Macaca fascicularis: one gene and its partners. The protein of the gene in region 6 interacts with the protein of the main gene of each other region in a biochemical or structural test. Links are inferred from orthologs where the notes say so. Each region holds a gene or a part of one and is shown on either strand. Other genes may lie near its edges. The genes, in order: GAK, ODF2, PDCD4, POLR2M, CLVS1, LRRK1 and CDC42EP3.

Evidence for each region.
Region 1: the proteins of LRRK1 (region 6) and GAK form a complex in vitro, tested with the Homo sapiens proteins (2 studies listed by BioGRID and IntAct, with this or other methods). The link is inferred for Macaca fascicularis from reciprocal best matches to the Homo sapiens genes LRRK1 and GAK.
Region 2: the proteins of LRRK1 (region 6) and ODF2 form a complex in vitro, tested with the Homo sapiens proteins (2 studies listed by BioGRID and IntAct, with this or other methods). The link is inferred for Macaca fascicularis from reciprocal best matches to the Homo sapiens genes LRRK1 and ODF2.
Region 3: the proteins of LRRK1 (region 6) and PDCD4 form a complex in vitro, tested with the Homo sapiens proteins (2 studies listed by BioGRID and IntAct, with this or other methods). The link is inferred for Macaca fascicularis from reciprocal best matches to the Homo sapiens genes LRRK1 and PDCD4.
Region 4: the proteins of LRRK1 (region 6) and POLR2M form a complex in vitro, tested with the Homo sapiens proteins (2 studies listed by BioGRID and IntAct, with this or other methods). The link is inferred for Macaca fascicularis from reciprocal best matches to the Homo sapiens genes LRRK1 and POLR2M.
Region 5: the proteins of LRRK1 (region 6) and CLVS1 form a complex in vitro, tested with the Homo sapiens proteins (2 studies listed by BioGRID and IntAct, with this or other methods). The link is inferred for Macaca fascicularis from reciprocal best matches to the Homo sapiens genes LRRK1 and CLVS1.
Region 7: the proteins of LRRK1 (region 6) and CDC42EP3 form a complex in vitro, tested with the Homo sapiens proteins (2 studies listed by BioGRID and IntAct, with this or other methods). The link is inferred for Macaca fascicularis from reciprocal best matches to the Homo sapiens genes LRRK1 and CDC42EP3.

Annotation. Positions count from the first base shown.
Region 1 is NC_088379.1:968,560-972,679, forward strand, and holds part of GAK (cyclin-G-associated kinase), read right to left. Parts: intron 3,855-4,120; coding exon 3,805-3,854; intron 3,287-3,804; coding exon 3,138-3,286; intron 2,580-3,137; coding exon 2,457-2,579; intron 1,796-2,456; coding exon 1,662-1,795; intron 1-1,661. UniProt on the Homo sapiens protein: Associates with cyclin G and CDK5. Seems to act as an auxilin homolog that is involved in the uncoating of clathrin-coated vesicles by Hsc70 in non-neuronal cells. Expression oscillates slightly during the cell cycle, peaking at G1.
Region 2 is NC_088389.1:15,514,708-15,519,522, reverse strand, and holds the start of ODF2 (outer dense fiber protein 2), read left to right. Parts: upstream 1-1,701; 5' UTR 1,702-1,711; coding exon 1,712-1,875; intron 1,876-2,806; exon of another isoform or gene 2,807-3,014; coding exon of another isoform or gene 3,015-3,046; intron 3,047-4,815. UniProt on the Homo sapiens protein: Seems to be a major component of sperm tail outer dense fibers (ODF).
Region 3 is NC_088383.1:119,957,852-119,962,549, forward strand, and holds the start of PDCD4 (programmed cell death protein 4), read left to right. Parts: upstream 1-1,524; 5' UTR 1,525-1,615; intron 1,616-4,698. UniProt on the Homo sapiens protein: Inhibits translation initiation and cap-dependent translation. May excert its function by hindering the interaction between EIF4A1 and EIF4G. Inhibits the helicase activity of EIF4A. Modulates the activation of JUN kinase.
Region 4 is NC_088381.1:34,170,040-34,173,782, reverse strand, and holds part of POLR2M (protein GRINL1A), read right to left. Parts: intron 1,345-3,743; coding exon 1,140-1,344; intron 1-1,139.
Region 5 is NC_088382.1:71,211,746-71,216,409, reverse strand, and holds the start of CLVS1 (clavesin-1), read right to left. Parts: upstream 3,147-4,664; 5' UTR 2,977-3,146; intron 1-2,976.
Region 6 is NC_088381.1:86,091,927-86,096,046, reverse strand, and holds part of LRRK1 (leucine-rich repeat serine/threonine-protein kinase 1), read right to left. Parts: intron 3,518-4,120; coding exon 3,345-3,517; intron 2,245-3,344; coding exon 2,124-2,244; intron 1,879-2,123; coding exon 1,719-1,878; intron 568-1,718; coding exon 291-567; intron 1-290.
Region 7 is NC_088387.1:84,513,488-84,517,729, reverse strand, and holds the end of CDC42EP3 (cdc42 effector protein 3), read right to left. Parts: intron 2,591-4,242; 5' UTR 2,356-2,590; coding exon 1,591-2,355; 3' UTR 608-1,590; downstream 1-607.

The DNA of each region.
Region 1 (4,120 bases), on a different chromosome or scaffold from region 6:
ACTGGACCACACACCCTGCATGAGCGTCCTCTTTCCACGGCTCTGAAAGTGATCCACTGGACCACGCACCCTGCATGAGCGTCCTCAGCACATCAGTTACTTCAATTTCCCTAAGAGTCACAGGGTGCAGCTCTTTCATCTCCTCCATCTGGAGGCAGAAAAAAGGGTCTCGGCCAGGTCTGAGCCTCCCTCATAGTAGCTGTGTCCCCTTGCCCAGCCCTCACTCTCCCATCTGTCCTGTGGGTGCCCATGGAGACTGTGCCTTCCAGAGGGCAAGGACCCTTCCAGTCCTGCAACCCTGGAGGCTTCACTCGCCCACTGAGACACTTGGCCTCCACCGGTTATACTCCTTCTGGCCTCCTTCTCTTCTGGGGTCTAGTTATGTCCACCCAGACAGTGCACACACACACCTCCTCCCACAGGCACCTGACTCTCCTTAGATTCTGGGCCAGAGATGTGGAAAGGCCATGAACTTGACGCTGGTCCAGCCACCTGCCCGGTGGGAGCGGCACTCTGCACATTTCTCTGCTCCTCCAAGGAAGGAGCTGTGGGATTTGGTGGGGTCATGGAAGCCCAACCACACTTCACAGGGAAAGAGACTCCCTGGTTCTCAGATGCCCCCTGCTGAGCAGGCCCCACCGCACCTGGCCTGGGGGTGCCAATGGCTTTCAGCTCAATGTGTGGAGGGGTTCCCGACTTTGCTGGGGTCACAGAAACAGCTGGATGGGGCGGCCACAATCTCCTCCCCATAAGGCTGTGAGCAAACAAGGTGGGGCCCTCCCTAGGGATCCACAGCAGCAGGATCGGCCTCCCGACACTCGCCCTGTCCACAGGCTGTGCGCTCCGTCCAGACGGGATGAAGAATGGGGAGTCCCTCGAAGCTTGGGTCCCTCCTCTTCCCTCCCGCCATGGTGGGGCCACGGGGCCGGCCTTTGCTCCTGGGCCGTCTGTGGTCCAGGTCAAGGCCTGCTCTTTCAGAGGCTGGGAGGCTGCTCCAGCCTCACCAGGTCCTCAGTGAGACCAAGGCCAGGGGAGGCTTTATGCTGGGAAGGACTCCTCGGCATAGACACCTGCAGCCTCGAAAAACAGAGCCCTAAACACGCTGTGGCCGCACTCCCGTTTGAGAAAGTCTCCTCCACGCGGCCAGGGAGAGTCTGCTGCGTGCTGAGGTGACCGGCACGGAAGCCTGCACTTGGCAGGGCCCTAAACATGCTGCAGCCTCACTCGGGTCTGAGCAGCGTCAGGTGCTGCACACAGCACCTGTCTCAGGTGGTCCACACGGCATTTTCACATGCATTATCCACCAGAGCCCACCACAGAGGACTCCTGCAGGAGGGACAGAGCGGGGTCCCAAGAGGAGCCGCCCCTGCCCAGCCCAGCCCAGCGAGCACGGGCTACATGTGGCATTTGCCAGAGAACCTCGCGTCCACCCAGAAACTAGGCAGGTGCTGCCCCACAGCCGTCAGGACCACCGCGGCTGAGGGCCCACCCTCCCTGGGTGGGCATAAACCCAGGGCTCAGCTGTGGCTCAGCGAGGCTGGGCCTGCCTTTCCCACCAGCGCCTGCAGTGGCACCGACTGGCCCTCCAGGAGACACCGCAGCGATGGCGGCTGTGCCACACGGGCCCGGAGCCGTCCCGTCCCCGGGGGGCCACGCGGTACCTTTTGTGGGACGGCCAGATGCCTGGCGGGCAGCGCTTCATGCTGAACATGTACACGGCGGCCTCCGCGGTGCTGAAGAGACGGCAGAAGCACAGGAAGGAGCAGACAGCCACAGCAGACGCGGCTCTCCCGTCCTAGGACAGACAGACACGTCTCGCACGTGCCTCGCACTCACGCAGGACAAGGGCTGGCGGGGTCCTCGGCCATCCTACCCGCCCCATGGCCACGGGGACGCAGGGTTGTTCTCTCTGAGGCTGGGACATGTTTACGAAACCACATAACACGCCTGCCGAGGCGAGAACGGAGCCCAACAGAGACCGAAGGTTCCCTAACGAAGAGCAGGGCTAGGGCCGCTCTGACAGGCTCTGCTGGTGCCCGGTACCCCCGCGAGAGACCCCTCATGGAAACCTCAACTCCATCAACCACAGTGGCAGCTGCCACAGCCTGGGAGGCTCAACCACCACTAAGCTTCGCACTGCAGATGGGGAAACTGGAGGTGACTCTTAGGTGGCCACTGTGCAGGAGGGGAGATGGGCTCCTCACACAGCAGAGTGGCCTCCACACAGGCGTGCAGGTCAAAGCCAGGCAGGGCCACATGGGGAGGGGAGGGCAGGGCAGGGCCATCTGGCATCTGTCCCCTCCACACCCGAAGACATTAAGCACAGGGACTTTCTTCCGTGTCCCAGGGTGAAGAACAGGCCCCAGCTCACGACTGGCGCTCGGATGCCGTTGAACTATGCATGAAATAATGAACTTTGATAAAAGACGGCGCCAGGGCATGGCCCTGGAGCTCACCATGCAGTGCACGACACAGACGTTCTTGTGGTCCTGCCGCAGCCAGGCATGCATGTTCCTGCAGATGTTGTACAGGGTGTGCAGGTGCGGGGCCCGCCGCGCTGCCCAGCCACACTCGGAGACCTGTGGGGACAGGGCACGGTGGCACGGACGGCAGAAGAGCCCCGCCCCAGCCTTGGTCAGATCAGAGGGACAGCCTGCCTGCAGCGCAGGGGCCTCTGCCAGCTGGCGTCATAAACAGGCGTCCATCTGCACGAGCGCCTCTGCGGCACCTGAGCACCAGGGCTGCCACTGGCCTTGCAGACCGAGAGCCTCTGCAGCATCTGAGCACCAGGGCTGCCACTGGCCTTGCAGACAGAGCTCGGTCAGCTGTTCCTGGCTTTGGGTCCCCCTGCATACTGACAGGGGTCATGTCTGGAAGGAATGTTGCGGCCTCGAGCACCCTCTGGCAGGCAGGAAGCAGTGAAGAGCTGGGGCCTCCAGGGTTCCCGTCAAGCGGCGTCCTCAGAGCAACAGAGACCCCACCTCGCTTCCTCCTGCTCCACACTCTGTAGCCCCTCAGGGGACCTCCGGCTGCCCCCATCACAGCCGCACCCTGGCCAAAGCCCTCAGCTACACCCCTGCACTGGAGCAGGAGGAAGCTGCCACAGTGGCACCAAGACAAAGCCTGTGGCCACACACCCGGTTGTGGAACCTGGAAGGCCGGTAGGTCCTGGGGGACAGGTTGTAGACAGCATAGTGCCCCGGGTGCTTGGAGTCCAGGAACAACCGCACGTCTTCGATGTTGTTTTTGAGCGCTGACTCCACACCTTCTGCCGGGAACGACATTACTGAAACAAGCAGGCCTGCGTCAGCCGCCGTCCCCGGGAGACGTGTACCTTGTGGCCACGCTGCCGCTGAGGCCTTGCTGCTCCTCACGCTCCCGGGCAAGCACAGCCTCCAGCAGCTCCACCAGCCACTGCCCACAAAGCTGGCCCCCTCACCCTCCGCAGACTCCCGGCCTGGGTGGACCCAGCAGCGCGGACCCAGCCACACGCCCGCCAGCCAGTGGCTGGGACTTCCTGAGACAGCTTTCTGACACATGCCCGATCTCCAGGCACCGGGATGAGTGACTGGGATGCCTGGTGCACAGCCTTGTGTTGTTCCTAGCATGACCTCAGGGAGCCATAGGAGGCACCAGGCTGGGGCTGACCCTGTCCACTGCTGCGCCTGGAGGCGCTGGGCACAGGCCGTCCCTGTGAGTCTGTGGCTGCAGAGGAGGCTGGAGCAGAGGCACCTGTGCCCTGACACACAGCAGGGACTCACTGGGCACACAGGGCGCATCCCACAGCCTCACGTGCACACGTACCTGCAATTCTGGACGTGATGTAAGATATGTCCAGGTCACCCTTTGCGTAACTGGAATTAAAAAGAAGAAAACTTGATTATGACAAGAAACACTCCACAGTTAAGTCACAGGGCTGAAGCCAGAGCCCGAGGCCTGGAGAAGCCATGGGGCTCTCACTGTGGAGGCTGCATCCCACGAGGAACGTGCATGTGCACAGGCATGTGGGCAGGTTCCCGGGTGTATGTGGGCCATGGAGCTGACCCCTACATCAGAAGAGGATGGAAATGACAGCCTGCAGGTGGTGGAGGTGTGGACGAGACAGGAAAGACGTCCGCTG
Region 2 (4,815 bases), on a different chromosome or scaffold from region 6:
ACTGCGTACCTACTGCTCTCTGCTTAGAATTCCCTTTGCTGCTTGTTTGGCGAACTTCCACTCATCTTTCATGGCTCAGTTCCAATACCATCACCTCTGGGAACCATCTCCTGCCTGCCCCAGGAGGACTGGGACCTCCTTTTCCTGTCCTCTTTTCCTTGAACCTGTATTTCTTTTTTTGAGACAGAGTCTCGCTCTGTCACCCAGGCTGAAGTGCAGTGGTGATTTTGGCTCACTGCAACCTCTGCCTTCCAGGTTCAAGCAGTTCTCCCTGCCTCCACCTCCCTAGTAGCTGGGATTACAGGCACACACCACCACGCCCGGTTAATTTTTGTATTTTTAGTAGAGACGGGGTTTCACTATGTTGGGCAGTCTGGTCTTGAACTTCTGACCTTAGGTGATCCGCTTGCCTCAGCCTCCCAAAGTGCTGGGATTACAGGCGTGAGCCACCGCAGAGTCTTAAAAGGTTGGGTTACAATGAGGATTAGGAAATCTGTCAATTATTCGACAGAGAGACAATGAATGGACCAAAGAATAGGGGAGCTCCCTGACATTACAGAACAAATTCAGTATGCAGTATACTGTGAAAGTGAGGCAGAAAAGCAGGTTTTGTTTGCGAGTTTGACTTTAGGATTGCAGGTGAAAAACTTGTGTGACCCTGGAGGTGTGTGGCTAAGGTGCTGCGGGGTCACCGGAGAAAGGTCAAGGGACTGTGGCCCAGTTGGCTCGGAGGTTGTTCAGGTCTCCCAGATTCCAGGGCGGCATTATGAGCCACGTGACAGACCTCCCCTGACTGGCTGACAGCGAAGCATAATTGAGAAGATGGCGGACCAGCAAGGACCTCATCAGAATAGGTCTGTACACAGAGCGGCATGGAGAGTGCAGGAGGGTAGTAGGCCGGGCGGGCGCGGTGGCTCACGCCTGTAATCCTAGCACTTTGGAAAGCCGAGGCGGGCGGATCATGAGGTCAGGAGATCGAGACCATCCCGCCTAACATGGTGAAACCCCGTCTCTACTAAAAATACAAAAAAAAAAAAAACAAAACAAAACCCGGGCGTGGCGGGCGCCTGTAGTCCCAGGTACTCGGGAGGCTGAGGCAGGAGAGTGGCGTGAACCTGGGAGGCGGAGGTTGCAGTGAGCCGAGATCGCGCCACTGCACCCCAGCCTGGGCGACAGAGAGACTCCGTCTCAAAAAAAAAAAAAAAAAAAAAACAGAGTGCAGGAGGGTAGTGAAGCGCAAGGGGAATGCCGACCCTTTTTCCTGTTGGGCCCAAGACAGAGGCGATGTGGGCAGGGGAGAGAGGCCGGGGAATGCGCAGAAGCCGATTCCATCTCTGCACTAACAGTGGATTAGGGGCAGGGCTGGATTTTCGGAGGCAGTGTGCAGCTCCCAATAACGTGTTCCGTGGGTCCCCTGTGAGCCTAGTTTCCTGGTGGGTACCAAGGGGAGCGCGTCGGAACCGTACGCTCCTTTGAGTGAGGGGAATCTGGGAGGACCCAAGACAGGGGAAACAGGGCCGAGCGGGAAAGCCCTTGAATTGGGGGCGAGACCAGGCCAGGCCTGCTGGACGGGTCGCACGTCTCCTTGGTGACGGGACGCTTGGCCCGGAAGTGGGCGGTGCTTCTGGCGGGGCGGGGCATCTCTGTGACGCTAGGGGCTGGGCCTCGATGGCGAAGCCCAAGCAGCTCCCGGGGGGGTTTGAACTGGCCAATGGGCGAGCTGCCGACCGGGTGTCGGAAAAGGAGGCGGAAGCCGGGAGGAGCCGCCGCCAGAGCCAGACTGCATCCGCCGCGGCGTCTCCATGGCACGACCCTGGCCTCCGACTTCAACGACTTCATAAGGCGGCGTTTCTGGGCTCAGCCGTGTCGCTCCTGGTGAGAGGCCGCCGGCAGGCGGGATCCAGCGCGCTCCGGGGCACCGCGGGCGAGACCGTCGCCTTCGTACCCCCGGCGCTGTCGGCCCCGCGGGGCCGTCGGGTCCTGCGTTCCCCGCCGCGTCGCGCTCGTCCCCCTCCTGTCAGAACCTGGGCCCCCGCCACGCCCACCGGCACGGGACCTCTCCTCCTCCCGCTAACGGGCGGCCGGCCGCCTCCTTCCTCTCCTGGCTACCGCGGGGCTCTGCCCTTCTTCTGCCGCCCGCGGGCAGGGCTTCACCTTTCTCTCTATGGGCAGAAACCGGTATCCTCCTGCCTGCTGGTGGGTGGCCGTCCCTTCTCTCCGCCGACAGAGGCTGTCCCTCGCTCTGCTGCCCGCCGGCGGCCTCGCCCCGACTGCCTCGTCCTCTCCGCGGGCCTCCACACGGCAGTCACTTGCCGGCCCTCCGTAGGCAGCGCTGTCCCCCGGGCACCGTCTCCGGGTCGCCAGGGCCCTCGCCCGCGGGGGTCCCGCCCGCCCCCTCCCAGCCCGATGTCTAACCTGCTTAGAACTCGGTTGTTCGGTTTTCCCTCGCGGCGGGGCGCCCGGGCTCCGCGCCTCCCTCTTTCAAACACTATTGGTCCTCTCGGGCACCTGTTCTTCCGGGAACGCCCCTTCTCCTAGGAGACAGTTGTCCGACCCCGCCCCAGCATCCCCGCTGCTCCCTGCGCGGTTCCGGCCCTCTGGGGCCCACTTGGGGCCGAGCGGTTCTCACTTGCCCTCTCCGCACGTCCGCCGGCGCCTCAGGTTTCCCCCGGTAGCCACCGGCCGTCCTCCGCGTGGGGCCCGGGCGCGGTGGTACTTTTCCCTCGCCGTTCTGCCCCGTCCCCTCCCCTTCCTCCCCTCTGCCCCCAGGTCGCTCAGCCTCTCCTATCTCCCCCTACTTTGGCAGGACAGTTGCTGTGCGACTTGGACAGTAGAGGAGCGCCTCCCAAGTTTTCATCCAACTGCCAACCCCAAAGCTTCCACCCTTCTCCCCTCAGAGAGGACGTTTGATGCCGGGCCCCTTGAGAGGCTCATTGAAAAGCCCGCCCCTCTGGGTCCCCCTGAGCAGAGCCTGCTGACCCAATTGCCCACCTTTGCGGCTTTGATGCCTAGCCATGTCTGCCTCATCCTCAGGCGGCTCCCCCAGGTACTGCCGATGTGGGAGGCGCCTGCGCCCGAGGGCAGGGAAAGGTGGCCAGGGGTCCCCAGGGCAGGCTCGCCTGAGGCTTCCAGCTTCCTCATTGTGTTTGCTGAAAGTCTGGACCAAAACATTTAAAAATCATTTTTAAAGGGAAGGGGGAACGAAATGTATACACAATCTCAGCTCTACCTCCCTGGCTCCTTCCCTCCCCAAATGTCACAGCTTCCTGGAAGCAAACAGGGTCACTCTTGTTGTCTTCATAGAGTACTAGGTTCAGAGCCTTTTTGAAGGGAGTTGAGGTGTAAATAACATGTCGGAGGTGGATGTGGCAGTTAGCAAGATGATGGAATCCAGGTGGTTTGACAGGAAACCCACTGAGAGATTTCCCAAAACTGTTGGCTTTATGTGAACAATGTTCTGAATGATTAGGGAAAAAAGCCTGTCTTCTCAGTTTTGGTATTCCTTGGCTAAAGGATCAGTAGAGCGCTCTCTCTGTCTCTCTCTCTCTCTATATATATATACATATTCCCTCTTTTTTTTTTTTTTTTTTGAGACAAGAGTCTCGCTCTGTCGCCCAGGCTGGAGTGCAGTGGCTGGATCTCAGTTCACTGCAAGCTCCGCCTCCCAGGTTTATGCCATTCTCCTGCCTCAGCCTCCCGAGTAGCTGAGACTACAGGCGCCTGCCACCTCGCCCGGCTAGTTTTTTTGTATTTTTTAGTAGAGACGGGGTTTCACCGTGTTAGCTAGGATGGTCTCGATCTCCTGACCTGGAGATCCGCCCGTCTCGGCCTCCCAAAGTACTGGGATTACAGGCTTGAGCCACCACGCCTGGCCATTGCCTCTTTTTAAAATCAGGATGTAATACACATACAGCAAAACGCATACTACAGTGCTCAAGTATTTTTTCCTTGCATTTTGATATTGCATTATTTTCCTCAAGTACTTGTAGAGAGGGCAGGATGATAATTTGGGACCGCCCCGTCTCTGCCCCACCCTCCCCGCCACCCCCTGGTTGCTCAGCCTCTCTGATCTCTCCCCACTTTGGGGGCCAGGTGCGGTGGCTCATGCCTGTGCAATCGTAGCACTTTGAGAGGCCGAGGTGGGCGAATCACCTGAAGTCAGGAGTTCAAGACCTGACCAACATGGTGAAACCCCGTCTCTACTAGAAATACAAAAAATTTGCTGGGCATGGTGGCACACGCCTGTAATCCCAGCTACTTAGGAGGCTGGGGCAGGAGAACTGGAGAATTGCTTGAACCTGGGAGGCGGAGCTTGCAGTGAGCAAAGATTGGGCCACCGCACTCCATCCTGGGCGATAGAGTGAGACTCCATCTCAAAACAAAAACAAAAACAAAAAGGGCAGTGAGATGGATCAGATGGTAATTCCAAGTCCTGGAGTTCTTGGATGTACTGCTGAAAGATTTTTGGAGCAAATTAAACTTTTAAACTTTTGCTCTCTCTGTTTTTTTTTTTTTTTTTTCTGTCTTTGCAGATCTGTTGATGGGGCTGTACAGTATATGTGTAAGCAATGTGAATTACACATGGCATTAAAAAAAAAATCCCCTGCTGCTTAGGAGCTTAAAGGATAGGAAGTGGAATATTTTGGGAAACAGATGCTTTTTTATTCTCTTAGGGGACTATTTGAGCCTTAATTTGATGAGTGTGCGTTACAGTGACTTCTCGTGCCTGAGCCTAATGCTTTTTGAAAAAAATTCTTTTTCTTTTTTGTTGTTGTTTTGAAACAGGATCTCCCTCTGCCACCTAGGCTGGAGTGC
Region 3 (4,698 bases), on a different chromosome or scaffold from region 6:
CAAGACCAGCCTGGACGACATGATGAAACCCCGTGCATACAGAAAATACAAAAATTAGCTAGGCATAGTGAGGGGCACCTGTAGTCCCAGTTACTCAGGAGGCTGAGGTGAGAGGATCGCTTGAACCAGGGAAGTTGAGGGAGGTCGAGACAGCAGTGAGCTGTGATCATGCCACTGCATTCTCCTGGGCTACAGGGCAAGCCCCTGCCTCAATTAAATAAAACAACAACAACAACAAAATAAAAAACTACTAGGGAGGGCCATGAGGCACAGAAGGATTGCACCAGGCAGAGATAGGAGATGAGAAGAGAGACATTTCAAGGTGATATATAAAGAATTACCAGGGGTTGAGGAGGCATATAGGGATATGTGTGGAGACACAGCTTGAAAGTCTTTAAGTCACATTGTGGAGCCTTGAACGACCGACCGTGGCGCTGACACTCAAGAGAGGCAGTGGGAAGCCAGTGAAGGTGTGTGTGTGTGTGTGTGTGTGTGTGTGTGTGTGTGCAGAGAAATAGCAGCATTAGAGATGATTCCCAGGCAGGGTGACTGGGCAGCCAAGGGAAGGCGCTGGCCTGCGCGGGATGAGGCAGTTGGGTTCTGGAGGGACCAAGCAATCATTCAGGTGCTGCCCATCAGACAACTGAAAAATCTTATGAGAGGTAGTGGCTAAGTCCCCTCCTGGGAGCACAGAGGAAGCATAAGGTTCTGGTTATCACCCTCAGGGGACCGTGACGTTGAAATAAGGACAGGACCAGGCAAAACGAATGCAGCCAAGAGGAAAAGTCAGAGAGAACAGCGAGGGGAGGTGGAAGTTTCAATAGAGAAATTGTAGCCATGGCTGAGATTCCCAGCACCGGAGTCCGGAATTAGTGCGTTCGAACGCCAGAGGCTTGGCAAGTCATGATTAGCAAAGGGACTTCAAAGAGTTTTGGGGCCTGTTTTATATCTGTGAAATGGGAATTATTTCTATCTCAAAGGTTTGAGGGGATTCGCTGAGAGAAACTTCTTAGCATGGGATCTGCAGAAACTAGAAGTCATGGAGAAAGCAGGGGTCAGAGGGAGGAGGAATCGGGCAGGCTGATCACTTGGAGTGTTCACCTAAGGAGTGTCTAGAAATGGAGGCAGCGACGTCAGGAAGCTCAAAACCTGTGCTTCAGCCCAGTTTGCAGAACGCCCTGTAAGGAGAATGGGTGAGCTGGGACTAGGCAGCTTCATCCTCGTTCCCATCCCCCAGCACTGCCCTTTTCCCGACGCTCCCATCTCGCCACGCTTCCCAACACACCCCCACCCCGGCTTCCCGCTCCGCTCCCGCTCCAGCCAGTCTCAGGAACCACAAGCGCATGCGCTCTCCGCGCCCCTCTCCAACTTTCCACGTTTCACTCCTCTCCCCTTTCCGCCTCAGCTCCGGCTCCACCGCCACGATTGGCCAGCCGACCACCCGGCCTTGGCCAATAAGCGCCGCCCTCTCGCCCCCGTGTTACTGGGTAGAAGAAAACAAAAACAAACAGAGCGAGAGGGGCCAGAGACTCTCCGAGGCGGCGGCAGAGCCAGAAGAGCGGGGTCGGGGCCGGCTGACCAGGGACCTGGGCGAGCAGCGGCAGGGGCCGGAGGGGTCAGTACCAGTAGGCGCGGCTCACACGCTCGGGAAGACTGCGCCCTCTCCCCCATCCCCCCTCGGAGGCAGCCGCACGATGGGAGGGGGCGGGGGCGTGGGGGCCGCGGCCCTGTCAGGTCCGGGCCAGCGGTGCGGGGCCCCGGCTGCCTCCTCGTAGCCCCACAGGTCCAGCCGCGCCCGCCCCAACGCCCCGGACTGCGGGCAGCCGGCCCGGTTCCCTCTTTCTGGGCCCAGCCTGGAGCGTGGTGGCGCGGGCCCGCCCCCTCCCGGAGCCCTCTTCCCACTGAGAGGGGCGCGCGGGACGCTTGCCCTCGAAGGTCTCCCTCAACCCACCTCCCCCTCTGGCGGAGGTTGAATTCAGGGGCCGGGATTGGAAGGCGTGTTTCCGGCTGGACTGAAATCCTGTGAGGAAGATTCGCGCCCTCCCCGCCCCCTGCTCTCCCTGGGAATTCTCTGAAGATGCGCCCCCCTGCTCGGCGTGACCCTGGAGCTCCGTTCCTGGCCCCGGCCCAGCCCCTTCCGGGGGCCGACCCGGGCTGGGGACTTCGGGGGTCCTGGCCTGAGCCCGCTGCGGGAGAAAGGGTCCGGCCGCTGTGGGGAGGGGCCGCGCGCTAGCCTCACTGGGGGGGCCCTAGGAGGCGAACACGTGCCGGCCGCCCGAGCCCCGCGCGAACTTCGCCGAGCCAGTCCTCCGGCAAAGGGTCTCTTTTTTTTTTAGTTCAGGTAAAATATAATCTCCCAGAGAAAACAAAGCTGGGAAGGGAGCCCCCTTTCTGTGAAACGCATGCCGTCTGCTGCATTTGTCAGTTTGATGCTGTAACGTACATGGAGTTTTGCAAGAGCTTCAAAACTGTCTGCAGACGTCAATGTCGCCCACCTACCCCTTTTGAGAACTCGCTACATAGCCAGCGACTGTGTAGTGTCTACAAATGATGAAAACGATCAGAAATGCGACTACATGTCTGGCAAAAAAGGGTTTCCCTTGTTTTTTAACTTGTATTTTTACTTTAATTTTTATGATTTTGATAACGTGACTTTTTTTGGGAAACCACCAAGTGCTTTTTAAGCAAGGAGTTACTGGCATTTATACCCTTAATATTCCTTCATTATAGGCTTATTGAATACCTTAATATTTCAGTAAGTGTCTTGGAATTATAATTGATTGGCTTTTTCTGTGGTACTAATGTGAAAGGAAAAATAATTGTTAGGACTGCAAAAATAAATGCCACTTGAATATTATCTGTAGTGCTCACTTTTGCATTACTGTAGTAGAATGCTTTTAGCTGGTTTTAAGCTGCTAATTAGCTGTTTGTAGCCGGAGAATGAATACAAGTAATCCTAGTTAATAAATGGCCAAAGCTTGACTCCCCAAAATGCCAGAGCAATTTATGAGGTATAGTTCAGGAAATACATATATATTTCGTGGGAGAGTGGAGGGTCTCTTAGGGAATGTTTTGGCAATTGAATACTTCTGATTGCTTGTTTCATGTAACACTGAAGAAAAGGACAGTGTTTAATGTCAGCCTTCATTTTCTTCTAACTTGTATGTATAGTTTTCTCATCGAAAATTCATTTTTGTAGGTTAGTATGAAGGAAATAGGGTTTGGATTTTTTGCTTTATATTTTCTTGTTTGGGCCAAGTAAGGGTGGTTAAATAAATTGGAAAAAATCCTACTACTTTAAAGAGAAGAAAAACGTAGAACGTGTCTTATGCTTATCTAAACTCTTAAAACGTGTTTGTTGCTCTCAAATATGACTTGAGTTCTTGATCAGGTTATCATTGCCTAACGACACAGGACTATTAAGATAACTTTGTTTTTATCTTAATAAAAGAGATGATAGTCATTTCCTGACAGTTTTCTTTGTTTGACGGAATGCCTTCTGTATAATAGTTTAAAATAATTATTTTTAGTGTTTGGAAAACAGCATTTAAAAGTTTGATTTAACAGCAGAAGTCTGTTTTAATAAGCTTCTGGTAACCCTTGAAAATAATCTTCCTGTGGGTTATTAAAATCTTGGATTGAACTTGTGCAAACAGTACTGGATTTGGAAGGTCTGAATTCTCGTCCTGGCTGTTTCACTAAGCAGCTGGCTGTCGTTGGACATATCACCTATCCTCTCTGAATCTGTTTAGTTGTGTGTAAGGTACTTACCTGAAGATTGTTCTGTAAGGTACATTAAATAATACATGTACAATTCTTTTTGAATTGTAAAGGGCTTTATAAACATTAGTTATAATCATTTCACTTATTGGGCTCTGCAGAAAATATTCTCTCAAAGGTTATGCTTTCATCAAGAATGAAAAAGACTTTGTAATGGAACTCTAAAAAACTGAAACACATATGACATTATTCCTTTTCTATATGTAATTCATGCATGGAATTAAAACAGAATGTGGCCTTTTCAGCCATGAAGGATGCTGAATGTTTAGATTTGCAAATCATTTTTGTTCATGTATTTATATGAATCTCTACATATATTTAAGATTTTTTTCATATCTAAAGTTGGCGGGAGTTGTATTAAAAAGTGATTTTAAAGATTCACATTATTTTATTCTAAATAGAATTAGAGAATGATTTCACCGTTTTGTTAAGTTCCCAAGCAATATGATAGCATGTTAGTCTGAGGATTATGCCATAGCAAGAAGCTTATAGGCCGGGTAGTGGCTCACGCCTGTAATCCCAGCACTTTGGGAGGCCGAGGCGGGCGGATCATGAGGTCAGGAGATCGAGACCATCCTGGCTAACACGGTGAAACCCCGTCTCTACTAAAAATACAAAAAATTAGTCGGGCGTGGTGGTTGGCACCTGTAGTGCCAGCCACTCAGGAGGCTGAGGCAGGAGAATGGTGTGAACCTGGGAGGCGGAGCTTGCAGTGAGCCAGAGATCACACCACTGCACTCTAGCCTGGGCAACAGAGCAAGACTCCATCTCAAAAAAAAAAAAAAACCTTACAATTTTAACACAAGGTCCATTTGTTTTTGCTTTGCAAAATAGTACCCTTTTCTGAAGAAAAGGGCTATAAACTTGTGTTAGCAAATAATAGTATATAATGTGGAATTTAAAAGTCAGTTTCACCTT
Region 4 (3,743 bases), about 52 Mb from region 6:
AAAGAAATATGGGTTTTTTGAAAAAGAGCACCTTGAAAATGCCAATCCATGCCAAGGCTTTTATGAAAAGCCAAGGCAGATTAACAGCCTGTTTTGCTGGGTTTTTTTTGAGACAGGGTCTCACTCTGTCACCCAGACTATACAGAGTGCAGTGGTGCGACTGCAGCTCACTGCAGCCTCGACCTCCTGGGCTCAAGCAATCCTCCCACCTCAGTCTCACGGGTAGCTGGGACCACAGTTGCATGCCACAATGCCCGGCTAATTTTTTGGTAAAGATGGAGTCTAGCTATGTTTCCCAGGCTGGTCTCGAACTCCTGAACAGCCTGGTGTGATACTGGCTGGTACACTAGTACCTGACTAAAATCTAGCTAAGCAACACCTAGGAAGTGAGACAGGATACTGTTCTCCTGGAGGCTAAAATTGTTACTAAATACTTCTAAACTTTTCTATTCCCCTGTGGTGCTTCACACTTATTTTCTCCCATCCCATTACTCTGTATACAAACTCTCAACATACAAGTTTAAAGTTCAATGCAAAACACATGGAAACAAAGTGCTATGCAAAATTGATTAAGTTGCCAAAAGCAGATTTTTTCTCTTCACATAGGCCTGCGGATTATGCTCTGAAACAGTGTCTCACTGTCTGCTGGCTATACAACATTATCCTCCCACTCCTTCTATGCCCTCCCCTGTACTGCAGGAGATGGAAGCCTGGGAACTACATTTTCCTCATTCTCTAACAAGGGGTCTGGGTTACAGTCCACCACTCAGAAGCTGTCACATGGGTTTTACAAGGTGAAAGGGAGAGATGCGATGCTACTACTATCCTAACAGGAACAGGCAGGTACATGAGCTTCAAGACATGAAATTCTACAAGTCTCCCCACATTTCCTGGCAAATCACCACTTTCATGTTGAAGGTAGCTGTGATCATCTCTAGCCATTTCCTGCAGTTCTAGCAACTTTATGACTCTGAAAACTAATGGCATAGGTCTCTGAAAACTAGTGGCATAGGTCTGAGCTCATGGAAGCACCTAATCCCCTCTATTCCATTCCTTCCTCCTTGAACCTGGAGTAAATTCTGGCTTATGTAAGAGGCACCAAACAAACAGACAAGAAAAAAAAATAATACTCTAAATACCTCATAATTCTGTTTCTGTTGTTTCTGAAGTGCCAAAGATTCTTCTATGGAGAGCAGCTGCGTAGGCATATGGTGAAGCGGTAGAAGCCGAGCTGCTGTGATGTCATCAAGATGCTGCTTATCCCTGCGCCGCCGCTCTTCTGAGGAAATAGGAGACCCGCTTTTCTGACAATGACTAGACGAATCATTTTGTCGAAAAGGTAACCTGATGAAAGGAAAACTTGTGCTATATAATCAGACTATTTTATTTGTAGACACATTTAAAACATTCACACAAATGACCTTTACCTCAGCAATTAACTCTCCTCCAAAGGTAACAGTAAGCAGTTTACCAGTATTTATTGCTCTAACAAACAGGGGTGTGTTTGTGTGCACACAGGCTCTTGCCTTTTCCTTCCTTATTCAAACCTTGTATTTCATCTGGAGCTTTTTTTTTTTTCATGTATCATTCAAAGAACATTTGCAAAAGGGCTTATTGCCCAGTAGAAAGAAAGAAACATGTAAAGTTTCAGTGCAATATAATACCAGAGGTACTATGGCAGATATCTCAACAAGATACACTGGAACATTAGGAAATGGCCAGTTCTAGTGGGAGACAGGGAGGCTGTAAGAAAAGCTTCTAAAAAGCTTTGAAGAGTCTTGGAATAACTGCTTACCATTTAAATAAGGAAAGAAGTGCATCCCAGCAAGGGGAGTGAGAGAAAGTACAGAAGGTAGAGAGACTCAGCTTTTCTGGCTACACAGAAAAGACAGCCAGAAAGAAGGCTGGGAAGTAGGCTGGGCCCAGACTGCAATGAAGAGTTCTCCGTAACAAATTCAGATTTCCACCTTACAAATTTCACTCTGGCAGCAGTGGAGACTGACTGGTAGTTAAGACTAGAGGTAGAAGAGGCCACAATTATAGCCCGAGAGAGATGAGAGTCTTCACTTCGACAGAAGATGAAGAACAATTATAGAGATGAAGATCAAAGAAATAAGTAGGTCTTCATGGCTAGCAGATACGGAGATGAGAAAAATGGAAGATACCTTAGGGGAAGAAAACAAAGAACGTAGTGGTCCTATTAAGAAATATGGAAATTACCTTGGAAAGAAACAGAAGTTCCACTTTGTACATGATTAAGCTGAGGTGCCTAGGAACACCCAAGTGGTCAAGTTTCATGGTTAATTGGCTATGCAAACCTAAAGTTCTGGGAAGATCTGGGATAGAGGTGGACAGGGGTCAGCCTCCAGCATCCAGGTGATACATGAAACCAGAAGAGTATGCAGAAGGAAGAGCAGAAAGGACCCAAGGACACTAAATGACCCCACCTTCCAACCTCCAAGCCACTTCTCACATGGAACCCTCTAAATCCTTGTCTATGGCATAAGGACTCCTCAAAGCCCTGTCTTTCCTGTTCTCCTCTAACTATACAGAAGGCTCCCTGTCTCTTCAACTTCCTGAATTCTTGGTAGCCCTCATCACTATTCCCTTACCTCTCTCCCACTCCCAGCTAAATGACCGTAATACAGAACTGGGATTAATGTATTCTTTGTTGTATTTATTGACTAGATGATGGTTCTAGTTTCCTAAAATGTCATCCTGGAAGTGAAGAAAGACACCTCACTGTACACAAGAGATGACTTGATCACATTAATGCAGTATAATCCTGATTTTCTATACGGCAGAAATAAAATGTTTTGCGGTTAAAATGAATGCTGGGGTAGAGTTAAAGTCTAACAAAAAAGAAGCATGTGTTAGGCACTTTTCACTAGAGATTTTCTGTTTTTCAAAGAAAGGTAGTAGTAATTTAACTTTGTATTTGATGTTACATACTTGTAAATACAGTATAGGAAGGTACCTTTTGAGTTGAATGTTACATTTGCTGCAAGTAAATAGCAATTATTTTCAAAAAGACTTTACTTTTCCTGAAATTTCAGAAACAAATTTATGGCAAGGAACTGATAAGGAGAGTTTTTGCCTATCCTGCCTGAATCTATTTTCAGTTTTTCAAACTCTCCTCAGCTTCCTTCCCCCTGAAACTGTTATTATGTAGCTTAACTCTTTTCCAAGGGTGTAAACCTTGTGTCCTCATCTAGCTCTGAAACTCCTTGAAGAACATGGTGTTGTATTACATTATACATGTATACATTACAGCCATGTTTTTAAACTTGAGGTATAACATCAAAAAGGCAAAGAAGTTTAAGAATCTTGACTTCACTGTGTCCCCACAACACCTGCTGCTTGCTTACATTCAGTGAGCATACAAATAATTTTTGCTGGAAAGCCGATCAGCTCCTGCAATTGCTTTACCCTTAGTTCGCAGACTAATCAAAGAGAGTACACTTTGATAGTACACTAATCAGAGCTGTACACTAAAAAATAGTTCTGAAAAAAAGACGTCATAATAAATTCTCTCCAACTCTGTGTTTATTATGAAATATTGGCTAAGCGTCCTGAAATTTAATATTCCCCCAAGTGCTATTTAAGACCCTGTCAATTACTTAGTTTCAAAACTAAATATTTTTCAGCATGAACCTTCCACTCCAGCCAGGCTGGTCTCAGTGTTTCCACAATATGTTCTTTCCTAACTACAAGTAGTTCTCATACAAAGCCCATGGAACTTA
Region 5 (4,664 bases), on a different chromosome or scaffold from region 6:
TTATTATCTCAACAAATGAAAGCTTTTTATGAGGCAGGGGATGTTTAGCCAGTTCATTTTCAATCCATAATCAAGCAAAAGAGTATAAACTTCCCTTAAACTAAGAGAAACTTAGATTGGTAATTAAACATGAGTTTCAATAAAGAGACATACATCAGTTACAGGTTGCAGACTTGTCAAAATTCAGACTGTGGACCTTCTTTTGAAACAACTTTATTCTGGTGATATCTGGATAAAATTAACAACAGTCAAAACAAGCAATATTTGGGAGAAGATTGAAAAGAAGGTCTCTCTTGGCAATGTTGAGGACATATTTCTGGACTGATTGGATATAGTCAAGCTTCATATTTTGTATACTCATTCTGCTGTGCTGCCTCCTCTGTCTGAGTCACTGTGTAACAGGGACACTAGAGAAGATCAAAGTCAGCCTGGATCCATTTACTAAGGATGGAAGGCTCTGCTATCAGGGAGTATGTAAAGTTGTGAAAACACTTCTAAGGGATAATAAAGTGCCTCTCTTTGTAAAACCTTCGGAAGTGAGCAGACACCACCAGTTCTGAAAAGTTCGAGATTTTGCCTTTTGGGAAATGAAAGACCTTCCAGCTGTCTACTCCATGATTCTAAATGAGACACTCTTCTATGAGCATGTCTACAAAAATATATGATGACACTGCTGGAAAACATTTTCTCTTCACCTTTAAATCCATTATAAAAATGAGTAATTTCTGTTATTGAAAATATTTTTAAAGGCGAAATAGCTCTCAATAGAAAAGATTTAAGTAAGAAAGCCAGGATACTGTCATTCTATAAAAATCAATAACCTCAGCATAACATTTCAGTCAAGAAAAGTCATTGCTTACAGACAGATGCCTGTAAATCTCACTGAAGCAGCATTGTTTTAAAATTTCCCCAGCCCCAGGAGATTGTATTAAACACAGGAAGACAGAAGCTCTAGAGGCACTGGATTCCTGGCCTGCATTTCTTGTGTGAAGCAGCTAGAATTGGCAATATGTACACTTTTAAAAATTGTCTGAGCTGAACCATTCTTTGCAGACAGAAAAGAGAATTTTAAGAATCTCCTTTCTCAGGGACTTTTAAGAGATTATGGTTACTGTGGATATTACCAAACCAAGGACATTATGTGGATGATCAAATTTTCTTCTTCTATAAAATCCATTTCACCACATATTTTGCAAGTTTTCTTGCTTGGGATCCAAAAGTGAATGAATTTAGAGGCAGGTGGAATCATATCTATATAATTAGTGGCAGTAATTAACTTTTGATGCAATGCTACTATTTCTCATTCTAAAAGTGAATTAAGTATGAATTTTCCTCAGAACTTCTTCAGGAAGATACGTATTTGTGACTGTCTTTATTCTCAACAATGCCTCTAATGGTGAGCAAGCTGGTTTAGATGAAACTTCCTTCACTGTCTTTAAGAGACAGAATAAATACACAAGGGCAATTTTAAAATCAAGCTTTTCTGTGCTCTGTTTTAAACTTTCTTGTCACATGTGACCTATTATTCCCATTTAAATGATCTCATTTTTAATTAAGATGTTAATTTCATTAAAAACACTTGTCAAAAAATTCCAATGCTTTACTGTTCAGTAAAAGTCAATTAAATGAGCACCCAGCAAAATATTTTTATTTATGACAGGCTCAGGCACTTATTTTCTGGTGCTTTTTAGCTCTTATAAAACAGATGATCCTGGCTAGATCAAATAAGGACTATGACTTGGGCTTAGACTTTCAGGTTCAAATTAATCAGACATTTGAAAGATGTTCCAACTTCCCTTCAGCCGAGATAGAAAATGATAGCACTCTAAAAGCAGAGCCTGGCAGAACGGAGTTACATAAAATGCCTTTTCAATTTTTGCACTCTATTACCCTTTACTATTATAGGAAAATGGTGTTATCACCTGATTACTGAGAAAGCACACAAAAATCTAGCCTTCCAAATCTGAGCCAGTCCTTGACTGATGATGAACAAAGCAAGGCCATCTGGTCTGAATATCATTACTACTTTGGCCATTTGGGCAAGGGATCTATTTTCTTTGCTCCAAAGAGAGGTTTAAGATTTGAAATAGAAATGAAATAAGTAGACAGGAAGAAACATTGGAACAAATAGTTCATTCGAATGAGAGCCCCCTTTCTTAAGTTACAATCATTACCATCATTTTTATTTTTATTCTGCCCTGAATTAATCTCTGGGGTCCCGATTTTGCAAAACATTTTAGTAAAAACAGAAGAAAAAACTTAATTCTAGAGTTTCTGCGTTTAAACACTTAGGAAAGGAAACGGACGTGTGGGTGAATATGAGTCATCAGTCACCCCCACCCTGCTTCCTGGTGATTCTCCATTGGAAAAGCAGAAACAGGTTGAGCTTACATTTCTATTTTTCTGGAATCACATTATGCCCTAGGCCATGTTAATTTCCTCAACTAAACAGACCCTAATCTGCTGAAAGGCAGCTGGCTAACTGCTGGTGTCTGGCAAGTGCCCCATCTGTCCCCGTGCCTGGGGTCTCTCCCTCCTGCCTTCACTTTCCCTTTCTTCCAAACAGGCGTCTCTCTTTGTTTTCAGGGGTTTGTTCACCTGAACTTTCCTTCCTATGCCTGTCAACTTGAGCTCTTTCCCTCTACCCTGAGGACCTCGGGCTTTGTCTAAGTGGCAAGACACACTTGTGTGACTATAGTTACGGCGCTGGTGATGGTGGCTATGATGACGGTGATGGTGGAGATGGGGGTGCTGATGTGTAAGGGGGCGCAGGCTGAGCGGGCGCCGGGAGCAGGATGGACCGCGGAGGCGGCGGGGAGCGGGGTGCGGTGCGCGAGGGATGGAGTGCAGAGGGATTGCAGATGGGAGCTGTCCACATACCGAAGTGCTGAAACGCCGCAGCCATGGCATCGCAAGAGCGGGGGAAAGGCGGGGAGGCTCTGCAAATACAGAGGGGAGAAAAAAGGCAACAAATACCTTCACACGGCCGCCCAGCCTTGCTTTGGGAATGTATTTCTGCAGGTGTCCTCGCTGCTGAATTGGGTGGGTGAGATCCCCTATTCTGGCAGGTTCGGGCTCAGATTTCTCTAGAAAGCTGTGAATGAGAGCTCGAGCTCCACACGGGGCTGTGATTTTTGGTAGGAGGCGTGTGCGCCCGATTCTCTGTCCTTCTATAGCGAGCCTAGCTTTCCCCTGGGTCCTAAATGCCTCCGTACCACAACCCTCCCTGGTTCCGTTGAGAAGTACCAATAATTTTTTGTAATTTTGTTAACACCTGGGACAAAAAGTACCGGCGCCATCACTCCCCACACAAAGTTAAAAATAGAATATTTCAAACGGATTAATGAAAGCACAAAAGCAGATGTGTGTGTGTGTGTGTGTGTGTGTGTGTGTGTGTAAATCTGACAGATAAGAAAGTATCACAAACCTATGGGGAAAAAGGATGAATTATTTTACTAACAAATGGTATTAAGAAAATGAACTATTTGAAGAGACTCAAATCAAAGTCTCATTTCACCAAAATAAATTACACATAGATGTTTTTATCAAAAACATAAAACTTAAAAATATAACTAGAAGAACAGAAATATTTTACCGATCTCAGGATAGGGAAGGTTTTCTAAGCACAAGAGGAATAGAAGAAATAAAAAAGAAAAAGATCAGTAAGTTTGAGTGCATAAAAACACTCTTGAATGTCAAAATATTAAAAAAGTAAATACAAATTAACACTTTAAAAAACTGCAGCAAGTAGATGTTTCATACACAAAGTACCACATAAAAGAGAAACACTAACAGCCTTTTAGAAAAAAAGGATGAATGTTAAATGACAAAGAATTTACAGAAGAAATGGGGATGCATAATAAACACATTTTTTAAATATCAACCTCACCAGTAAATGGAAATATGCAGTTTAATATGGCAGTTTGGGCTGAAGTTTTAAATACGCATATCTTATATTGTTGGAATAATAGTGAGATGGCATAACATTTTTACAAATCTATTTCACAATGTACATCCAGTGTCATAAATATACATGGCATTTAGATCCAGTAGTTTCATTTCTAGTACTTTATGCTAGGGATATATTCAGATATGCAAAGATTTATGTGTATAAATTTCATTTATGATCATAAATGTCAAAAAATAAAAAAGCATTAATTTTTCATACAAACTGTAATGTTTAGAGCTATTAAAACATATTTTTGAAAACTGCTTAAGACCAAAAATAATACTTGCAAAGTGTTAAGTGAAGGAAAGCAAGATATCAAATACAGCATTCCCATTTTTCCCCAGTTTTCAAATCAGTTATATCATCATGGGTAAATTTTCTTTTTGCCAAGATAACTTGATTTTCTTACTTGTATTTGTTTAAAGTTTTCACATTTACTAAAAAGTTAGAAAACTTATAAAATATTTTAAAGCAATCTTTCTGTCATATATTTCAAAGACTTCAAGGTCATCAGAATTCTTCCAACTCTGACATAGTATTACATATTTACTTATTTGTTTAGTCATTCTCTCTGATGGAATGTAAGTACCATGTGGCAGATAATTTGTTCACTACCGCTTCCCAAGCACTTACAAGTATGCCTGGAACAACACAGTTCTTAGTTTATACATTCTCAGAATGAGAGAATCCACATCTGGATATGATGTAGAGATAA
Region 6 (4,120 bases):
TATTTTTAATGACATCCTTTCACGTTTTCCTACACTTTTTCAATAAGTGGATTTCTTTTAACTCCCTGAACAGAGAACCCCGGGGCACAGGAGGGAGTGGCCAGCTGTGCTCACTGTCCCGCTGACCCAGGCCAGGCAAGCAGGTCATCAGGTGCTGGCCTGTCCCTAGGGGGCAGCAGTGGCAGCACTGATCCCTGGAAATCTTGTTCAGGCCACCAGTGGCTCCAGACCCCAAATCCCTCTTTCGGGGAGCAACCTGCACAGCCTGGCATGGTAAGTTGTATCCTCACCTGTCATTGGCGACGGGCAGGGCGATCTCAAACTTGGCCAGGAACTGGAAGTACTGCTCTTCCGTCTGCTGTGTGAAGCCAGTCCCCACCAGTAGCATCCTGAGGTCTTCTGCTCTGATCACCCCATTCTTGGCCACTGACCGGGAGCCCTTAATGTTAAAGATCCTCTGCAGACATTCGGACAGCCAAATAGGGTCGAGGAAGTAGAGGTTCCTCAGGCCGTGGCTGGTGTCTGGGAAGTGTAGCAGGGTGCCAGTTTCTATGAGGAAGCTGATGGCTGCCCCAGGCAAGGAGAGGAGGAAGCAGCAGTTAGACAAAGGAGCGAAAGGGACTCTGGGGTGGCCTTACTTTCCAAGGGGACCCAGGTCACAAATTCTTCCTAGGAAGAAACCAACATGCCCCACATGCTGGACCCTTCAGGTGGGTTGGCAGCCTGATCACAGGTGCCCTGGTGGCCCCTGGTAACTCTTGCCAAAGTCCTAGGCTAATGGCCACCTCGGTAACTACAGTTGATCCTCATTATTTGTGGATTCCGCCTTTGCAAATTTGCCTTCTTACTAAAATTTATCTGCGACCCCCAAATCAATGCTCCTGTGGTTATTTGCAGACATGTGCTGAGTGGTGAAAAGTTTGCATTGACCAATGTGCACATTCCCAGCGGAGGCTGAACAGGGCAACACTCTCAACTCTCGTGCTGAAAACAGGGGCCTGCTTAGTGGTCTATGTCAGTGCCATGTTTTTTGAATTTTTGTGCTTTTTGTTGATGCTTTCACTGTTTAAAATGGTCCCAAGTGAAGTGCTGAAGCGCTGTGTAGTTCCCTAAGCGTGAGAAGGCTGCGATGTGCCTTATGGAGAAAACCTGTGTGTTAGATAAGTTTTGTTCAGGAATGAGCAACAGTACTGTTAACCATGAGTTCAATGCCAACAAATCAACACTATATATTAAGTACAGTGTCTTTAAGCAGCAACACACATAAAACAAGGTTCTGTATTGATGGGCTGATGAGAATGTTCTGACCAGAGGCTTGCAGGAGCTGAACCCTGCGTCTCTCCTAGGAGCACTGGTTTAGTATTTGCTATTTCAGTGATCATGGTGACTTTACAGAACATAAGTCCTGTGGCTAATGAGAATCGATTGTAACTGTTTGACCTCTGTCTCCCTGACTGAACGTCAGCCCTGGAGGGCATGGACCAGTCCATCAGTTTATATGTCTGCCCTTGTGGCCAACACAATGCTGGTGTAGAGTAGCTGTTTGTGTTCTCTACCTCCAAGGAAAGAAGGGTGAGAGGGAAGAAGGAAGGGGAGGGGGATGGAAGACAGAAACACAGGCTGATTATCGGTCTCTCATTCATTGCTGAGGGCCAGGCTGAAGTACAGACAGTTCCATTTCTCACGGGCACCCTGCCGCCCACCCCAGCCCCACCCACCCGACTGCAGGTCCTCGTAGTCTTTGATGTCATTGTCGGGCGTCTGCTCCACCAGCTGCTCCAGCTGCCTGTCCGTCAGGTACTGCACGTCGTCGTCCAGGCTGCGGCGCTGCTGCTCTGCCAGCACGGCCTCCTGCAGACTCAGGTAGCTCCTGGGGATCTGGGGGACAGACGGACGAGGCAATTCCCGAGGCATGCCCGCCAGCTGGGGCAGATCCTGCCTGGCCCCTGTGGCCTGAGTGGGTGGGACATTTCCACCCACTATCTTCCATCCTGACCCTCCCTCACCAAGAACGACTGAGCCTTGCCACATGGACATGGGCTTCACAGGAGAGAGGGGAAGTGAGGATCCCCAACAATGGGAAGCAGGCCTACTGGTTTAAGCTGGACGAGCGAGGTACCCACCAGCCTCCCTGCCAGTCGCTGGCAGCCGATGGTGCTGCCCACGTCCTTCATGCTGCACGTGACGTGGAAGATCAGCTGCCGCAGCCCTTCCTGGCCTTCCAGGCTCTTGCAGGAAATCTCACTGTGTGCAAAAAGACCCGTCTTTACTCATCGTGCCCCACTCCGAGGAAGTGCTGCAGCTTCTCTGTTTTCCCAAGAGGTTTGTCCTGAATGCTGGCAAGTCTGGAGAACTCATGAAAGACAACACAAGAAGTTTACTGAGGCCTTGCTTTGTGCAAATCACTGTGCTGGGTGCCCCACACTGTCGCTTTAGTCTGTCTTCCTAGACCAAACATGGCACTTCACAGAGAAGGAAAGTGAGGTGCAGAGGTACATTGAGACCCCCAAGGGCACAAGCTGGGCAGGCACAGGCTCACGCAGGCTGGTCTCAGGTTCTGACCCAGAGCCAGGGCTCCTCTTATCACAGACCCTATGGGACTTTCTCAAGGTCAAAGCAATAATTCCTGACAGCCTCATCCCGTATTCCGAGCCAGGCCAATGTGTCCCAGGCTGACCCACGCACCAATACCCATGACGCTCCACCCCGGGCGAGGGAATCTGAGAGCTGCCAGGGCAGCTAATGCAATGTGCAGTATATTTTACTCCCATTAGGGCACACAATTTGCTGAACCTCAGCTTCTTCATCTACAAGGTGGCAAACAATCCCCACAACCAGTGACAGGAGGTCAGCCCAGGGCAATTGAACTTATCTGCATGGACACGTCGTGATGCCCACCCGAAAGCCCCTCCCAACTCTTGGCCTTTTTTAACTCAAAGGCTGCTATCAGGACCACTCAGACCAAAGGCAAGGGCTAGGTCCTCCCTCCCCAGGGTCTGTCCTTGATCAGTGATCAAAAAATGAGATGGGCAGCAATTGGATGGGTGGTGCCCATGTTCAGTCACCTGGTTCAATGGGCACCATGCAGTTTCAGCACTGGCCCTTGGGGCGGGGACAGGGCAGAAAGGAAGCAAAGAGGGGGCATCTCCAGGCCTCACCCAGCCAGCTGTCTGGTAGGTCTTCACCCTCTCCAAGGCTGGGTCAGCTCTGTGGACTGCCCCCCCTTGGCCAGGGAAGGGGCCTAGCCCCACCCAGCCTCAGGAGCTCTCTGTAAGCAGATCCCAGGAAGGATCAGCGACTGGCACCCACATGAAGGCGGGAGCTGCTAGAGGCTGGGCACTCACTGTAAGTGTTTGAAGGTGATGTCTGGGAAGCCTGTGGCCCTGGAGCCGGAGGGGGAGCGGCAGAGCGCCAGCACATAGGCACGCAGCGTTGCAATCCTTTCCACACGGAACTTGGCTTCAATTAAATCCAGGTGTGTCCCGACCACCAGCACCACGGCATTTGGGGCCTTGGCCTGCAACAGAGAACCCCACGGCTGAGTATCGTCTCTGTTCACTGAACAAGGGACAGGACAGAGCTCCCAGCTGTGCTGACCCCGGATGCCACAGCCCTTGCTCAGCCACCAATCTGCAGCCTTGAGATGGTTTGGATGTTTTTCTCCTCCAAATCTTATGTTGAAATGTGATCCCCAGTGTTGGAGGTGAGGCCTGATGGTAGGTTGGGTCATGGAGGTAGATCCCTCATGAATGGCTTGGTGCCCTCCTGCAGTAATGAATGCATTCACCCTATGTCAGTTCACAGAGGAGCTGATTGTGAAAAGGAGCCTGGCTCTTCCTCCTCTCTCTCCTGCTCCCTCTCTCACCATGTAACATGCTGGCTCTCCTTCTCTTCTGCCATGACTAAAAACTTCCTGAGGCCTAACCAAAAGCCAAGCAGATGCTGAAGCCATGCTTGTATAGTCTGTGGAACTGTGAGCCAAATAAACCTCTTTTCTTCATAAATTACTCAGTCTCAGTCATTCCTTTATAGTAATGCAAAACAGACTGCTATAGGAATGTCAGCCCAGGCAGCACCTGTGCTCCTCATTCTCTGTAAACCCCGAGGGACCGTTGCATTG
Region 7 (4,242 bases), on a different chromosome or scaffold from region 6:
AGAATCGTTGAAGTGGTTGGGAGAGGAGGTCATTTCTGAGATACATTTCAAGGAGAAATACCAGTTTGAGAGAAGGAGCTGGTAGTTATTGTGTGCAAGTGTTTTTCTTTGATGGGGAAGGAGTGGTTGGCAAAGAGACAGGAATCTGTGTATACATTTCCTGCTCCTGTTTCCTTAACCACCATCCTCAGGGCATCTCTGGCACCTTGGGATGGGGTAAGTGCTCTCTACTGCCCTCGCTTTAGCTGCCTTAATCTTGTCTATATGGCACTTTCTGCATGAACAGACATTTGCCTTACAGGGATGAAACTGGACTTGCAAGAGTTTGCTGTAGAAGGGTTCAAGTCAGGAAGATGCTCAGAAATGAGGACTGAGAGGGTGGCATCAGTGTTGACTTTAAAAAAAAAAAAAAATCTGACCTCACATGTTCATCTTTCCTAAAGTAGAGAGGCTCAGTTTCTAGCCTCTCAAACCATAAGGAAGTAATCAAAATTAGAGCAGATGGAAAGCATCTCTTACCTTAAAGGCTCATGTACATTTCAGAGAAGCAACTTCTCTAGCTAGACTTATTCTTTTATGGTCTTGTTTATTACTATAAACAAGCAAGTTCACTTTATCATTTACTCTTTATTGTGTTGTTTGAAGTACCTATGTAATGCAAGTATGTACGGTACTAAAATACCTATATTTCCAAAAACATCATGTGGGGTAGACCACAGTCTCTGCAGAAGCATCATGAGTAACCTGTGCCTTTATACTTTACAATTCGTTATTGGTTGCTGTTAAAGGTATGATAACAGATGAAGAAAAAAAACTAAGTATGAATATACTTTTCCAAACACACACATACACAGCTTACAGTGGAATCCCAATGGAAACAAGTCAAGTGACATCTGATGTAGGATCTATAAAATGTAGACTCTGCAATAAAAAGCCAAAGGCACGTAAAAATATATTTTAACTTTAAAAATAACTTAGTTACAGTAATACTTTGCCTGTGTCTTACCAACATGTAGCTGACAGTCAAAAGTTTGCAATATAGATATAGAGGGATATATAAGAACTACAAGAAAATCCCCAAAACCCATAAGTTCAAATGTGAAAACAGAAAAGTTTTAACACTGGAGAATTCGCTATGGTGAGCCCAAGCAGTATAGAAAAGAGTCTACAAAAAGGCTTAGGTGTTAAATAAATTTTGACTTCCTCTTGCTCAGAAAATGTCGGAGTGCTGTAAAGTTCCATAAAGTTCCTCAGTGTGACTCGCTCAGACCTTCATAGCTAGTGCCAATCCTGGCCAAGCCAGATTTCTTGTGTGTCTGCAAACAATGTGTGAGCCGAACATCACCAATGCCTGCTGAAAAATGGGCTCTGACTCACTTCCTCTTTTTGCCAAGATAGGTTTTGCTGTGTTGTTTTTTCCTAAATTGTTTTTGCAAGGAGGGCATACCAGGTAAAAAAATACTTTGTAAGAATATTATTTTAGAAAACCCATCACAAAATTGCAAATACAGCTCCGGAAGCCCTTCTCTTCAACTGTGGTTAGTTTAGTTTTTGTACCTTTTACCCCAAAGGAAAAAAGTTGGCATCCTGTTACTTATTTTTATCCATGACATTCAGCACCTCATCCAAAAGTGAGGGCCCAAGATCAAGCTGCAGGGAGAGGAGGGAACCTGTAAGGTCAGAGAGGGACTCCTCTGACTTAGTCTTTCCCTTGATGAGCTCGCATGGGGCGGGATGGTCAAACATGTCCTCAGCTGGCCAGTCGGGGTACTGTTCGGACAGGCTGGAGGAGTGGCTGTCCCTGCCCTGGCTGGACTGAGATGCAGAACCGCTGGAGCCCCACGAGGTGTCTCCCTGGTGGTCTGTCCCATTCTCCAACAGACTGCTTTTCTCCTGAGCTTTTTCCTCCATGACAGGCTCGCAGCTAAGCCTGGGCAGCTTTGCTGGCCCAAAGGACTCCTGTTTGGAATTAAATGTCACCGGTGACAATAAGGGCAGCATGAGAGCTTGGGACCCTCCAATGGTCGGGAGGGAGATGGCATTTTTGAGCACCGGGGAGGGTGTTTCTGTGAACACAGAGTCCGAGGTGCTGTTGGCCCGGAAGAACTCGTTATGCCCAGGGAACTGGCCCAGGTGTGCTTTCTCCTGGTTTCCAGGTAAAAGCTCGTAGTTCCCTTGAAGAAAGGAAATATCTCCAAAGACATCGTGCTGGCCCTCTTTGCCGATGTGGATGGTGTGGCGAAAGTCTCCAAGCGGGGGACTGATCATGTCGGGAGACAGAATGTCCCTCAGTTTAAATTTCTTTCCTTTCTTGTTATTGGCTGCTTTCAGGTAAATTGGGGTCTTGGCTGGCATTTTGGAATTTGAGAATGTCTATTTTGCAAGTGGAAAAAAGGGCCACTTTCTTCACAGATGGTATATGTTTCTGAATAATCCTTTTTGATAGGAACTGTCACATCATTTTTTCAAGTGGCTTCAGAAGTGGCTTTGAAATGAGATGGGGTCAGAGAACCTTCCTGAGGTTACGGCCAAGTGAGGCTTGCTAGAGAGCCAGTTACATCATCCAGTCTTGACCACAACCAGGAGAAACCTGGAGAAGAAACCAAAGCAGGTTATAATCTAAAGACTCATTTGGGTGCCCTAGGGCCTCCCTTTTCACAAGAGCCTGTATATAATGGCAGGGCCAGTTCCAACTAATGCGAACTTATTGTTTCCCTCCAGTAAGTGGATAAAAATTTTCACCTTAATCTTAAAGAGAAAACAAAACAGGAAAGAGAAAGACCTAAAAACCCCAAATCTATGACACCAGTACTTTTTAGACATAGCCATGAACACATCTTCTGGACATGTCTACAGTTGTAGTCATTTTCCTCTATTCTAAGAATTGCTGTAAGCATAGGATCAGTGATTTCAGCTCCTTAAATACAACTGGACTTGTTTTAAAATACATTTTCCTTTTGCTTTGATGTGCATACTAGCAAGACTAATGATATTTCACTGAGTTCCATACGTACATAAGTTAATGCAATAAAATGAATAGTCCTACAAGGGAAGGTACTGGAATTATTTAATAAGTGACAATAACTTATATGCTACTGTCCTATAAAATATTAGTGGAATACATTCTTACAGATAAGAAAATGGAGATTCAGGATAAGCCCTTCCCCCAGAAAGTTACCTTTTCTCAATAACATATAGCCAATAAACAAGACAGCTAGAGTTGGAATTGGGTTGTGGCAAAGTATTGGGCTGTCGAGGACGTCAGGATTTGAAGGCATTCTGAGGTGGGAGGAGATGAACAAAACCGCTGCACCTCAAAGAGACAACATTGTGATTTTCTATTATAGGCTGGGCGTTCACTTGGGAACACCTCTGAAACATTACTGATAAGGCTATATCCTCCCTGCAGTAGGCAGAATTCGAGGGGAGCCCCCATGATCTGCCTCCTGGTGTTAATGACTTTGTAAGTAGAACCTATGACTGGCTTCTAACCAAGGGAATATGGCAAAGGTGACAGGTCACTCCCTGATTAGGTTACATTATAGGAGATTCCATCTGAGCTGACAAGGGAGAAGACTTGCTGGCTGTGGGGAGGTGAGCAGTTATACTGTGTGAGGGCCTATGGAAATGAAATCTGCCAACAAAGTTGGGGAGCTTGGAAGTGGATCTTTTCCCCAGTTGAGCCTCTGATGAGACCATCACCCTGGCTCACACTGAATCACAACTCAGTGAGATGCTGGAACTCAGCCCCACCCAGATTCCTGACCCACAGAACCTGTGAGATGGTAAATGTTGTAAGCCCTCAAGTTTGTGGTCATTTGTTACCAGTGTAGAAAGCTAACACATCCTCCCTGCACATACTATATGGTGAGATTAGGAGGGCATGAGCTATAAGAAGGCATTGGGGATGTAATGTCCTCTTTTGCCGATGAGATGCTCTTATCTTTAGAAAATGATCCTCCACCTCTGATGCTGACATAGAGAAGCTAAACCCTTCCCCACTGCAGGAACTCCCCAGATGACTCTACCATGACCTCTTCCCTCAGGAGCTCCTCCCTCTGGCCGCAGAGCCTGCAGATAAATACTCCAAGGGCTGGGTGGGTTAGCTGGTGTTTTGAAGGGAGCCACATTTGCTCTGTAGCAGCTGGAGGCTGTCTGCATCTGCCCCATATTTCTTTCCTTTCAGCAAGAGTTTTAAATTCATTTACCAGTGGCAGGTGACAAGAACTGTGCTCCACCACC